Macaca fascicularis: one gene and its partners. The protein of the gene in region 1 purifies or fractionates together with the protein of each later gene. This does not show direct contact. Links are inferred from orthologs where the notes say so. Each region holds a gene or a part of one and is shown on either strand. Other genes may lie near its edges.

The links. The genes of interacting proteins can lie anywhere in the genome.
Region 2: the proteins of HCK (region 1) and HSP90AB1 purify together in Homo sapiens (affinity purification with mass spectrometry; 3 studies listed by BioGRID and IntAct, with this or other methods). This does not show direct contact. The link is inferred for Macaca fascicularis from reciprocal best matches to the Homo sapiens genes HCK and HSP90AB1.
Region 3: the proteins of HCK (region 1) and CDC37 purify together in Homo sapiens (affinity purification with mass spectrometry; 3 studies listed by BioGRID and IntAct, with this or other methods). This does not show direct contact. The link is inferred for Macaca fascicularis from reciprocal best matches to the Homo sapiens genes HCK and CDC37.

Annotation. Positions count from the first base shown.
Region 1 is NC_088384.1:88,140,032-88,144,015, reverse strand, and holds the start of HCK (tyrosine-protein kinase HCK), read right to left. Parts: upstream 2,807-3,984; 5' UTR 2,573-2,806; intron 1-2,572. UniProt on the Homo sapiens protein: Non-receptor tyrosine-protein kinase found in hematopoietic cells that transmits signals from cell surface receptors and plays an important role in the regulation of innate immune responses, including neutrophil, monocyte, macrophage and mast cell functions, phagocytosis, cell survival and proliferation, cell adhesion and migration.
Region 2 is NC_088378.1:127,269,974-127,273,952, forward strand, and holds the start of HSP90AB1 (heat shock protein HSP 90-beta), read right to left. Parts: upstream 2,809-3,979; 5' UTR 2,606-2,808; intron 1,844-2,605; exon of another isoform or gene 1,748-1,843; intron 1,425-1,747; exon of another isoform or gene 854-1,424; intron 349-853; coding exon 202-348; intron 1-201. UniProt on the Homo sapiens protein: Molecular chaperone that promotes the maturation, structural maintenance and proper regulation of specific target proteins involved for instance in cell cycle control and signal transduction. Undergoes a functional cycle linked to its ATPase activity.
Region 3 is NC_088393.1:10,965,624-10,969,739, reverse strand, and holds the start of CDC37 (hsp90 co-chaperone Cdc37), read left to right. Parts: upstream 1-1,308; 5' UTR 1,309-1,393; coding exon 1,394-1,495; intron 1,496-4,116. UniProt on the Homo sapiens protein: Co-chaperone that binds to numerous kinases and promotes their interaction with the Hsp90 complex, resulting in stabilization and promotion of their activity. Inhibits HSP90AA1 ATPase activity.

The DNA of each region.
Region 1 (3,984 bases):
GATAAGAAGGGGCAAATATGCTCCTCTGCTATCCCCTTTCTCAGAATTGCAGAAAAGTCTCACAGTTAGATAGCTTTATTTTTTTTTTTTTGAGATGAAGTTTCGCATTTGCTGCCCGGGCTGGAGTGCAATGGCGCGATCTCGGCTCACTGCAACCTCCGCTTCCCCGGGTTCAAGCCATTCTCCTGCTTCAGCCTCCCGAGCAGCTGAGATTACAGGCATGAGCCACCGCATAGATAGCATTTTTAAAGCACACAAAACAATAATATGTGCTGTTTATGCATACACTTATACACAATCCATTTTTAAAGGCACAGCCTGGAAGGACTGTAATCACGACAGCGGTTGCCCCCTGGGGAGGGATAGAAACAGGACTGAGAGTGACACAAGGTGGGGAGACTTCAAATTTTTCTGTTACTTTTAGTAAATTAATTTTTTAAAATCTGAAGCAAACACAACAAAATGCTATCATCTGTTAATTCTGGATGGTGGATTCTTGGGATATTTAATATATTATTCTCTTCACTTTTCTGTATTTCTTTTTTTTTTTTTTTGAGACGGAGTCTCGCTCTGTCGCCCAGGCTGGAGTGCAGTGGCGCGATCTCGGCTCACTGCAAGCTCTGCCTCCCAGGTTCACGCCATTCTCCTGCCTCAGCCTCCCGAGTAGCTGGGACTACAGGCGCCCGCCACCGCGCCCGGCTAATTTTTTGTATTTTTAGTAGAGACGGGGTTTCACCCTGGTCTCGATCTCCTGACCTTGTGATCCGCCCACCTCGGCCTCCCAAAGTGCTGGGATTACAGGCGTGAGCCACCGTGCCCGGCCCACTTTTCTGTATTTCAACCTGTCACCCCCTCCCCTAAAAAAAAAGGACCATAAAGAAAAAACCATGGGATAAGGCAACTGATATGTATTGAGGCCTTTTTCTGTGCCAGGCATAGGCTACCCCAGTGGTTTTCAAAGTGCCATCCTTGGATCAGCAGCAGCAGCATCACCAGGGATGGAAGTTCTTAGTGTCCTGCACAGAGTTACTGAATCAGAAACTCTAGGATTCGGCCCAGCAATCTGTGTTTTCACAAGCAGTCCAGGTGATGCTGATGTAGGCTGAAGTCTGAGAACGCGGGGCCATGTGTCTAGCTAGGGCAATGTTAAGATACATTAAGCCTGTGTACTGTCAGACAGTACTCTCAGAGCTTTCCTTCACTACCTTGCCTGCCTGCCTGCCTTCCTTCCTTCCTTCCTTCCTTCCTTCCTTCCTTCCTTCCTTCCTTCCTTCCTTTCTTTCTTTCTTTCTTTCTTTCTTTCTTTCTTTCTTTCTTTCTTTCTTTCTTTCTTTCTTTCTTTCTTTCTTTCTCTTTCTTTCTTTCTTTCTCTCTCTCTCTCTCTCTCTCTCTCTTTCTTTTTTTCTTTTTCTTTTTTTGAGACAGAGTCTTTCTCTGTCGCCCAGGCTGGAGTGCAGCCGCGCGATCTCAGCTCACAGCAACCTCCACCTCCCAGGTTCAAGTGATTCTCGTGCCTCAGCCTCCAGAGTAGCTGGAATTACAGGCATGTGCCACCACGCCTGGCTAAGTTTTGTACTTTTAGTACAGACGAGGTTTCACCATGTTAGCCAGGCTGGTCTCAAACTCTTGACCTCAAGAGATCCACCTGCCTCAGCCTCCCAAAAAGCTGAGATTACAGGAGTGAGTCACCCTACCCGGCTCCTTCAGTATCCAATTAATCCTCTAAACAACCCTGTGAAGGAGGTACTATTACTCTCCCCATCCTACAGTTGTGAAAACAGAAGCAAAGAAGGGCCAAATCCTCTACCCCAGGCCCAACAGGCAGTTTGCCTCTAGAAGCCCCCTCCCCTACCCACTAGCCTAACTGTCTCTCACAGGCACCACCTCTCACATACTCCAATTTCCTGCATCCTTGCAAGAAAGACTTCATAGCTCCGGCTTACAGATGAGGAAACGAATCCTGAGAGGGAGAATTCGTCCAACAAGGAGGAAAGTGTCAGGGCATGGCAGTCTTGGGCCAGGAGGTTTAGGGGTTTGACCTAGACCTGCTGTGGGAGGAGGGGCAGAGAGCCGACCAGCTGCAGCCGGCCTGGGTGTGGCTCACACGTCAGGCCTCCGCCCAACTGCCCCCTTCCCCAAGCCGGCTGCCAACCCGGCGTGACCCGGCCCCCACCGGGAACCGTAAGGGCCTTCCCCCCCAGGCTCTGTGAAGCCCCATCCCTTCCTTCTTCTTTTTTTTTTTTTTTTTTAATTAAAAAAAATCCCCCCCACCCCGCCGCAGAAGGGGAACCTGGACAGCCCAGAGAAGTGGTGGATAAAGTCACTGCACGGGCCTCCCCTCCCCTCCCCCTGGCATCCAGCAGTCCGCAGCAGTGCCGCCCCTCTCCTGGGCACCCTCCCCTGGCTGTCGACCCCTCATCACAGGCTACCCGCGGCTCCCCCGACGTTCCCGTCTCTCCTCGCTGCCCTCAGCAGCACCCGTAACCAGCCCTCCCCACTCCCCTAGACTCCCTCCGCCGCCTGGGACCCCTCGCGGGCCGGATATTCCCGGTCCCCTGTGCGCGGCACTCACCTGGGCGCCCGCTCCTGGTCTCGCGGGCAGCCCGGATCCTCGCAGCTCGAGCGCCCCCCCAGCTCGGCAGCCCCCGAGGTTCCGGGGTGCCAGTGCTGGGAAACTGACTTTCTAGAACTAGAGGCGGGGGCAGCGCTCGCAGGGGCTTTGGTGCCGCGGGCGTGTCTCGCCCTGCACTGTCTGGGTCCCTTCCCACTCGCCTCTAAGCCTCCGACGTGCTCCCGGACTGGGACCAGGGACGCGGTGGTGCCCGCAGGCCATCTGGGCGCTTTAGCCGCGCCCTGAGCGATGCTAACTCCGCCCCAAGTGTCCTAACGCCGCCCCGAAGACTCAGAAGCCACCCCAGGTTCCTAACCTGCTCCCCAAGGGTCATAACCTCCGTCTCCTGCAAGCAGGATCCCAAACCCGCCACCAAGAGAAAAAACAAAAAAAATTAGCATCATCCATCGGAGGCTTCTAACACGTCCACCAAGGATGTTAACCTCCATTCCTTCCGCTCTACTCTCCCTAACACCTCCCCATCCCACCGCCCAGCGTCCTACCGCAGTCTCCGAAGGATCCCAAATGCCACCCCTGGGGATTCGAACCCTCCCGTCTAAGAACCCCAGCACCCGCTCCCATGCTCCCAAGATCCTAACTCCGCCCCGCCAAAGGATTTTTAAACTAAACTTGCCCCCAAAGATTCTAATCTGCCCAATGGAAAGATCCGAACTCTCACTTCAGTGGATTCTAACCCTGCCTTAAAGATTTAGAACACTAACCCCAGGGTTCCAATACCGCTCTTGATCCTGCGCGATCCCAACCTGCCGCCGCCTAAGAGTTTTAATCCCCAGGGGTCTATCCCGCCGGTCCAAAGACTCCAACCCTGCCCTTCAGAGATCCTAACCCCACCTATCAAAGGATTCCTGCTACAGTCTTCAAAGATTCCAACCCCACCCTGGAAAGGCCTTACCCTACCCCGGAAGCATCGTGATCCCTTTCCCCCACCACTCCGACCCCTCCCTTCTGGCCCGGCCCCCCCAGCGCCGCGGCCCGAGACTTCCAGGCCCGTCTGTGGTCAGCGGTTTCCCTTCCGCAGGCCTGCTCCATTCAGACGCCACGCAAAGTTCCTCTCTCGAAGGAACCACCGTGGCCATGCAAAGTTCCCTGACCAAAGGAACTACCCTGGCCATGCAAAGTTCCCCGCCCGAAGGAACCACCCTGGCTTCCGGGCAGCTCAGAGGACTCCCAGACTGGGGGAGGTGGTCTGGAGAGGTGAGGAGTCAGGCTGGAGGGTGACCCCCCCCCCCAGTGGATAGGATTGTGCCCAGCTCCAGGCAAGGGCAGAACACACCCTCTCCTGAAAACACAGGGGCTATCACCCTAAATTCTGTGTAACACACCTCCAAAATCTCCAAAATGTACAAGAATCA
Region 2 (3,979 bases), on another chromosome or scaffold:
TTACATGAGCCCACTTTTTCTGGACATAGTCACTTCCCTTTCAAGTTCAAGATGGCCAGAGAGTAAGACAAATCTTTTTGGAATAGTTGCAACTTTACCCCCTTCAATAGTAATCCCCAACAAAGGCCAAACCACTCCTTTCCTCTCTACGAAGAGTGTCAAAAAAATAAACACACCAAATATAGAAACCACAGCACTTACATCAGAAGCATTAGAGATCAACTCCCGAAGGAAAATCTCCTTGTTGGAATAGAAGGTATTGATGATGAGAGACATGAGTTGGGCAATTTCTGCCTGAAAGGCAAAAGTCTCCACCTCCTCCTCTCCATGGTGCACTTCCTCAGGCATCTAAAATAAAAATGATCATTAATTACAAAACATGAAGGCCTCACATTTTAAAATCCTAAAGGTCATCTCATTTGTTAGGACCTTAAGAGTTGAGACTGGTTTGACCTGAGTACTAGCCCTTCCGAAAAGACCGAAAAAGCATTCTCTTAAAAGATCTCAGGCTACACACTAAGTGGGAAGCCTGAAAATTCAGAAGGAAAAAGAAAATAAGCTGAATGTTCTTCAACCAAATGTCACAGAACCCAGCTACTTAGAGTGGTGACCAGCAGTCTCAACGTCATCCGGTAGTATGGCAGAAACTCATAATGCTGGTCCAACCCAGGTATCCAGAGATCCCAGATAATCCTTACACAAATTTAAATGTGAAAATCGCTACCTACAGTTCTTCATTTGGAGATCAAAGTAACTAGTTTGGCACTAACTTTAAACTGCTCCCCCTGAGATGTCTTCCTAAGACCAGCCCAAGGGCGGGACACTCCTACCCTACACTGCAGGGAGGAATAACCTGGGATCCAGAGGATACCCGCCCGAGGGGCAATTAAATCCGGACAAAGAATCGATAAGCCAAAAGCTCCACTACGACCCCTTCACAGGACAAAATTACAGAACAGGCCCAAACCCAACACAAGGAAGATGGTGGCCGTAACCACCAGGCCGACACTCGTCACTGCCGGACATGCGTCGGCAGGGACCACGCGAGGAGGGGGCGCCGCCGTGCACCCTCCTTCGCCCCAGCATCCGGGCACTGGGGCGGGGCGCCAGAATCCAGAAGCTTCCAGAACAATCTCAGCTCTAGAGGACGGGCGGAGGAGGGAGCCCATGAATCTTCCAGAACCTGCCCCCCTCCCCAACCCTCCTCCACCGGGACTGCAAGAAAGATCTGGAAGGAGGGAGTATGGGGTGCTGGAGACCGAAAGCGCTCCTCCCACACCATGAACCCTCACAGAAACAAAGCACCCAAGGCGGCTTTAACAACGCGTCCGATAAGAGAGGTGGCAAAGCCAATCCCACAGGGCCGTGCTGAGTCACCCGAGCAGGCACCCCCGCCATCCTGCGGTCCCCCTCCGACGCCCTATAGCCGCGTCCGGAAGTGGAGGAGCAAAAATGGCAGCGTCCCGGGCCGCGCGGCCACCACGTGCAGCTGCCCGCCGCGCACTGCCCCAGCCCCACAGCCCACCTCGCTACGGCTAGGAGGAGCCAAGAGAAAGCCCCACCGCCCAAGCACACTAGAGAAAACCGAGGAAAACTCAAGAGCCCTCACCTACCACTACCCTCACCCTATAAAAATCCAGGGCGTTATCCACAAGCCACCCCGGTATCTAGGCTCCCTAAAGGACAGAAAAAAACAAGAGCAACACGAAAGAGCACTAAAGAAGCCTAACGAAGAATTCAGCCTTACCTTGAAAAGAAAAGGCTTACACGTATTAGAGAAGAACGTGGGCTTGCTTTCTGATGACTACCAGGCACAAAACGCTGCGCCGGAGTGACTAGAGAGAGCTACTGCGTGCCCCAAGTCTCCCTATATAAGGCGAAGCACAGAACAGCCGCCCTCCCGTGGATCCCTCCGCCTTAAAGGAGCATGCTTGTCAAGTCCGCACCTGCCGCCACCAGCCCACCTTGACGTCATGGTCCGAAAAAAGGAGGGGGCGGGGAAGAACCCAAGCAACGGATCCACCCACACGTTTGCTTGTGATCACAGCCCCATATCTTCATGTCTAGGACCTGACCCCATCAAGAGCTGGGATAAGGAGTGCTCATTTGGCATATACGGTGTCTCTACGGGCGAGGAATCCATTGACCTCCCTAAAAACCTGTGAGGCAGGAGTCCCCACACCCAAGGACAGAGCCCGGGGGAAACACCTAAAAAGAGCCGAGGCAGCTAACCACTCCGACCGCTGCTCCCATACCCAATCTTCTTCCTAGCATATGCCCTACACATTTCGCATCCCGACACAGGGACTGGCATTCGGGACCCGACCTTGGGTAGCACCAGATCCTGACTCTCCCAGGAGCAGAGGAAGGGCGGAGGGTTCGCAGTGTGGGGTATCTCAGCGTGGGGGGAGGGCGCCGGCCGGGGCCGGCGGGACTCTTTGCCGGCATGCGGCGGAAGGCGCGGCGGCGCTGCGGCTTTCCAGCAGTTTCCAGGCCTGTCTCGGCGGTCCCGCCCCCGCCCGCCCCCTCCCCGCGGGGCTCCGCCTCTCCGGCTGCGGCCAGAGCAGGGTTTTTGCAGCGACCCCACCCGGGGACCGGCTCTGACCTGTCGGAGACGACGCGAGTACTAGCCCAATCCTCAGGGATGGGATGGAGCGTTGGGGAGGGATCGGCTGACCCCTCCTTCCCCGCGTCAATCACACAACACCCAAGCACCTGGGGCGACTCTGCGGGCGTACCGTTTTGCACTCTGAGACTGGAGTCGCTACGGGAGGGACCCCCTCCAGCCCCTGCGGCCGCCACGTACACGGAGCACGGGGACATGCGCCCTCCCTACGCAGGCACGTCAAGCCCTTTCTCAAGCTGGTTCGCTTTTTTTCTCCCACTTCCCTCCTGCAGCTATTTGGACGTGGGAAGGAGGGAGTCTCTAGGAGCCACTGCAGGGCAACAGGAGCTCTTGGAGGCCGCGTGAAGACGCCGGCCAGAGAGCGGCTGGCCAAGTTGTTCCCCTTCAGCCTTGGCACCAGAACCCCTAGGCCATACTCCTGGTCAGTGAACTGCGGCCGCCGTCTCTGGCCTGTCTCCGCCCTTTTGCCTGCCCTCCAGTCGGCAAGCTGTCCTTGCCTTTCCAAGGCGTCATCCGAAAGCCTGCTGGACCCACAGCCCCTCCAGGAGAGAATAGCCGCTCCCTGCTCTGTGCCCTGTAGATGTCCATCTAGTCCCCTTCCTGGCCCACCCCTAGGATGCTTGGGAAGAGTTTCCCCACAGCCACCCACGTCGTCCTCCCTCACCAGCCCTGTTACCCAGTCTACATTCGTTAACAAGCTTTGTTCATGTGTTGAATACCAAAGAAAAAGGACGTCCCTTGCTTTCCTCTTCCTTGTCCCTGTCAACTTCTCCATGCCTGCCATCATCATCCCGATTTTATATCCTTTCTCCCTTTCATTATGGTCTGCAAAAAGCGTATGGCTGGGAGAAGTCTATAAGAAGGGGCATTGGGTGCTCTATTCCTGACCAAAACCGCAAACCAGAGGGAGCGTGATCCCTTAACATACCCTCTCCTTCTAAGCAGAGGGACCTACGTCATTAAAAATCTGCTCCCCAGTTCACAGAGAGCATTCACAAACTCTCACTGTCCTGTGAGCGGATGAAAGCCAGTGTGTACATTATATCAACAGGGAAGTGGCTTTAGTGACTCCCAGGGTCCCTCTACTCAGAGCCCTTGCTACGCTGGCTCCCTTTCTGCTCCAGAAATGGAGCAGGGATGTGATCTCACCCCTAGGACCCAAATCCAAAGCAGGAATCACTCCTGTGGATGGGCTTACCCTGAGCTGGATCCTTTCAGTGTCAAGACTCAGCTGCTTCCTGAAGACTTTCTAAATGGGAAAATCTCAAATCTTACACCAGCATAGAAATTCCACTTTCTCTGCTGGGCGCAGTGGCTCATACCTGTAATCCCAACACTTTGGGAGGCTGAGGT
Region 3 (4,116 bases), on another chromosome or scaffold:
CCGGGGTGTGGGTCCGTGCGCGCGCGTGCCCGGGCCGTGACAGCCACTGATGTGCTGGACTGCCAGGGTAGAGGTGAAGAGGGAGGGGGAGGAGATGGGGACTCCTCCGCCCCTGGCCGCCCACTCGCGGGTTTGAATGAAGCGCGAGGGGGAGGGGCGGCAGCGGGAGGGCGTTTTTGTCCGATGGCCCCTCCCCCTCCATGCACTGGGGAATTCCCCCCATCTGGAGACTTTCGCTCGCTCTCTCCGGGCACCGCCTGCGACGTCGGCTCCAGGGGAGACTGGGAAGAGGCGCCCCTCACCCGAGTGGCTGGAGCTCCTCCTATCCAGCCTGACCCCCGATGGAGCACCCTTTAATCTAAAATAATCCTGGCCCGAGACTGCAACGCGGCCTATTATCCTGGTATAAAAGCGTGGATTGGGATGCGTGGAAGTGTGAGGCCAGGGCCCTGCATGCTTAGAGTAATGGAGTCCTTAGAGCCCCGGCGGAGGAAGGGTACCCCCAGACAAACGGGGAGGGACTATGCGTGACCCCAGACTGTGACGAAAAGGAAAGCCCCCTTCCACCCCTCCAAGATTCCCCCACCAAGCGCGGGACCAGGAATACGCGCCGTAGGCTAGACTCTAGCGACACCCAGCGGTCACGCGGGGTGGGGCGCCGAGACCCGTTATGGGGGGTCCGGGTGATTCCAAAGTGTGTGTGTGTGTGTGTGTGTGTGTATGTGCGCGCGCGCGAGTCCTTGCTGCTAATGGCCGGAGCTGGAGGACGAGGAGAAGGCTCCCAAGGCAGAGCCACAATCTCCCCTCTATGTTTAACCCCTCAAGGGGAGGGCCATACCACCCTCTATTTAGACACCCCCAGGGCAGGTCCAGTCCTCCTCGGGCTGAGAAAGTCCCAGGAGTCGTCAGGCGCCCCTCTCCAGAGCAGGCTTAGGTCCCCGTTTACGAAGGGCAGGGGGAGGGCCTTCCCGCCGTGTCCGTACCCCTTGCAGACGTCACTGCGGCGTAGCTGAGGGGACAGTCCTCTTAGTCTCATCAACCGTCCTCTCCCTGCCACCCCAAACGCCCACCGTGGAGAGGCGGGAGATGAGGGGGGCTAGGAGTTGAAGTGCCCACTCGTATGCCCCCAGGAGACCTAGCGGAGCCCCTGCGCCCGATAAGGTGGAGTCTCTGCGGGAACTTCAGGGGACTGGAACGCTTGCGCAAGGCCCTTTAAGGCAGAATGGGTAGCCAGTGCCGCTGCCGCGGTTACTAGGGATGTGACGTCAGGCATGGGCGGGGTTTCCCCCGCACTCGGGCGGAAGCGGAAGGGGCGGGGCTCCGCGCACCAAGTCTCCAGCGCCGCCGCCGTCGCCGCCAACCGAGCCGTAGCGGGCTGGGCCGCCAAGGCAAGATGGTGGACTACAGCGTGTGGGACCACATTGAGGTGTCTGATGATGAAGACGAGACGCACCCCAACATCGACACGGCCAGCCTCTTCCGCTGGCGGCATCAGGTAAGGCGCGCGCGCCCATCCCTTTCCCCACTCCCGGACCCCGCTCCAGAGTTGTGGTCCCCGATACTGCCCAGGGACCCCACTGTTCACACCTAGGATTCTCACCCCCTCAGTCTGGACTTTCAGGAGCCTCGATTCAACTCCAGGACCCCAGTACCACTGGTACCCTGAGTCCCTGCTCGGGATCTCCCCCCAACCCCCTGCTCCGATTTTTGCGTGGGATTCCCTATTCACCCCCTAGAACTTCTTCAGTCTGGACTGCCTTAGACGAGTCTCCCTAATTCTGTTCGGAGTTAACATTTACACCCAGAACTCTGCCTCAAAGTTTGGTCCCCAAATTCTTCTAGATGATCCCTCATCCTATTCGGGTATCCACTCCCTATCTGGGATCTCACGTCGCCCTCCCCCACCTCCGTAGTCTGGACCCCCAATACTTTGGTCTGTCCTGGGATCTACTTTCCGGGATCTTGATCCGGGGTTCCCATTCAGATCCGGAGTCGCCACTCCTTTTCTAAACGGTACAAGGAACTCTGTGCTACTCTGATATTCCTGTCCCTGCCCACACCCGGGACCCCCTTCCTAGAGTGTAGAGCCGTCCCCCTTCAGGATCCTTAGTCTCACCGAGGACTTCGGTTGTGGAACCTGGTTCCCCTCTGGATCTAACTACCAGCTCCACCCCGACAGAGCCTCACATTCCAGCCTCTCCTTTGGCCTCGGGTAGACCCATTTCCCATTAGACCAGGAAATCCTGCCCACGTGGCTTCCGGCCCAGCCAGAGCCCCTGCCCCTACTTGGTATTGCAGACCCTGTCACCACCCACCTCCCAGACTGGCTTCCTGTATGAGCCTTGGCCAGCATTGGAAACTCCCCTAACTCAAGCCCAGGACCCCAAACCCACCCCACCTTGTGTCCCCAACCTGATCGCTACTCTGTGACCCAAATTGTCCCTGCTCTTTTCCAGGGACTCCTGGTCTGATTCTAAATTCACTACCCCTTCTTCTATCGGACCACAACAGAACCCCCAAATCCAGACCCCAGAATCCCAAGTCTGAGTGATCCATGTCCTACCACCCCCTCAGTGCTCACAAGCCAATGGGGTGACTAAGACTTAAAGGTTTAACCTCCTGCTACCCCAAATCACATATCAGTGTCTGTTGTACTCTTTTTTTTTTGAGATGGAGTTTCCTTGTCGCCCAGGCTGGAGTTCAGTGGCACAATCTTGGCTCACTGCAACCTCTGCTTCCCGGGTTCAAGCAATTCTCCTGCCTCAGCCTCCTGAATAGCTAGGATTACAGGCATGCGGCACCACGCCTGGCTAGTTTTGTATCTTTAGTAGAGACGGGGTTTCTCCATGTTGGTCAGGCTGGTCTCGAACTCCTGACCTCAGGCGATCCACCCACCTCGGCCTCCCAGAGTGCTGGGATTACAGGCGTGAGCCACTGCACCCAGCCATGTTGTACTCTTAAACTAAGGGCATATACCTTTCAGAACCTTCTAGTGAGGATCTCTTACCCCACCCTCTCATAGGACAACTCCCCATCATTTATCCAAGAAACAACTAGAAGTTCCCTTCCCCATCATTTTGGAATACTCCAGAATACGGCATTAGTCTCTTTATCTAGCTCCCAGTCCCACCTCCAGACCTCTTCCTTAAATCCTGAGTCTCCTGGGTAGTGTACCTGCCAAGCGAGCCACTGGAGTGTGGGAAGAAAGTTCTAGCGCTTCTATTTCTTGCCGTGTGTAACATTTTATTATGAAATATTTAAGACTTCCACAAAGCTCCAAAGACTATTCTTGGGAAGACCTATTTCTGTCACATAAAGAGGTTAATCTTTACTACTGTGGAGAATGGTTTGGTCCTGCCGAGTGGGAGGGCCCCCCTCCTGCAGCGTAGCGTACCTGCCACACCCTCCTCCCTCTGGCACGGAGCTTTTCCTGTCCTACCGCTGAGAACCCGGTGGTTGTAGTGGCACGTAAGGGAGGCAGGGGGCTTCAGCGTCTCCAGCACAGGTTCAAGGACAGGCAAGCTTGCGTTCCAATCCTAGTCCTGCCTCTTGCTGCTTCTTTCTTTCTTTGATGTGGCAAGACTCAGGCCTCCCTGATCCCGTATGAAACCTGGGATACTATGACCCCACCTCCCTGAGACTTTTGTAAGAATAAATTAAGATTGGGCAGGAAAACTTGGGGCAGGTTTGGAAGGAAGCATTGTGGAGGGGAAGGAGAGATCGCTGTGGTTCTGAGCACAGGCCTGACTAGGTTCAAATCTCAGCTCTGTCTGTGTCACTCACATGCTGCGTGAGTGCCAGGGAATTGTTTGATTGCTCTGTGCCTGAGCACCTGAGAATCTGAATGATGTCCACCCCATAGGGTTGTTGTAAGGGTTACCTTATTCGTTTAATATTTGTAATCCTTTTGGGGCAGTAGCTATTACCGTCATCATCATTTAAATAATTTTTGTGAATGGTTAAAAAAAAATTCCACAGCCACATGTGGGGACACATGCCTATAGTCCTAGCTACTCAGGAGGCTGAGGCAGAAGGATCATTTGAGCCCAGAAGTTCAAGTCCAGCCTGAGCAACATAGCAAGACCTTGTCTGTCTTTCTTTTTTCTTTTTTTTAAT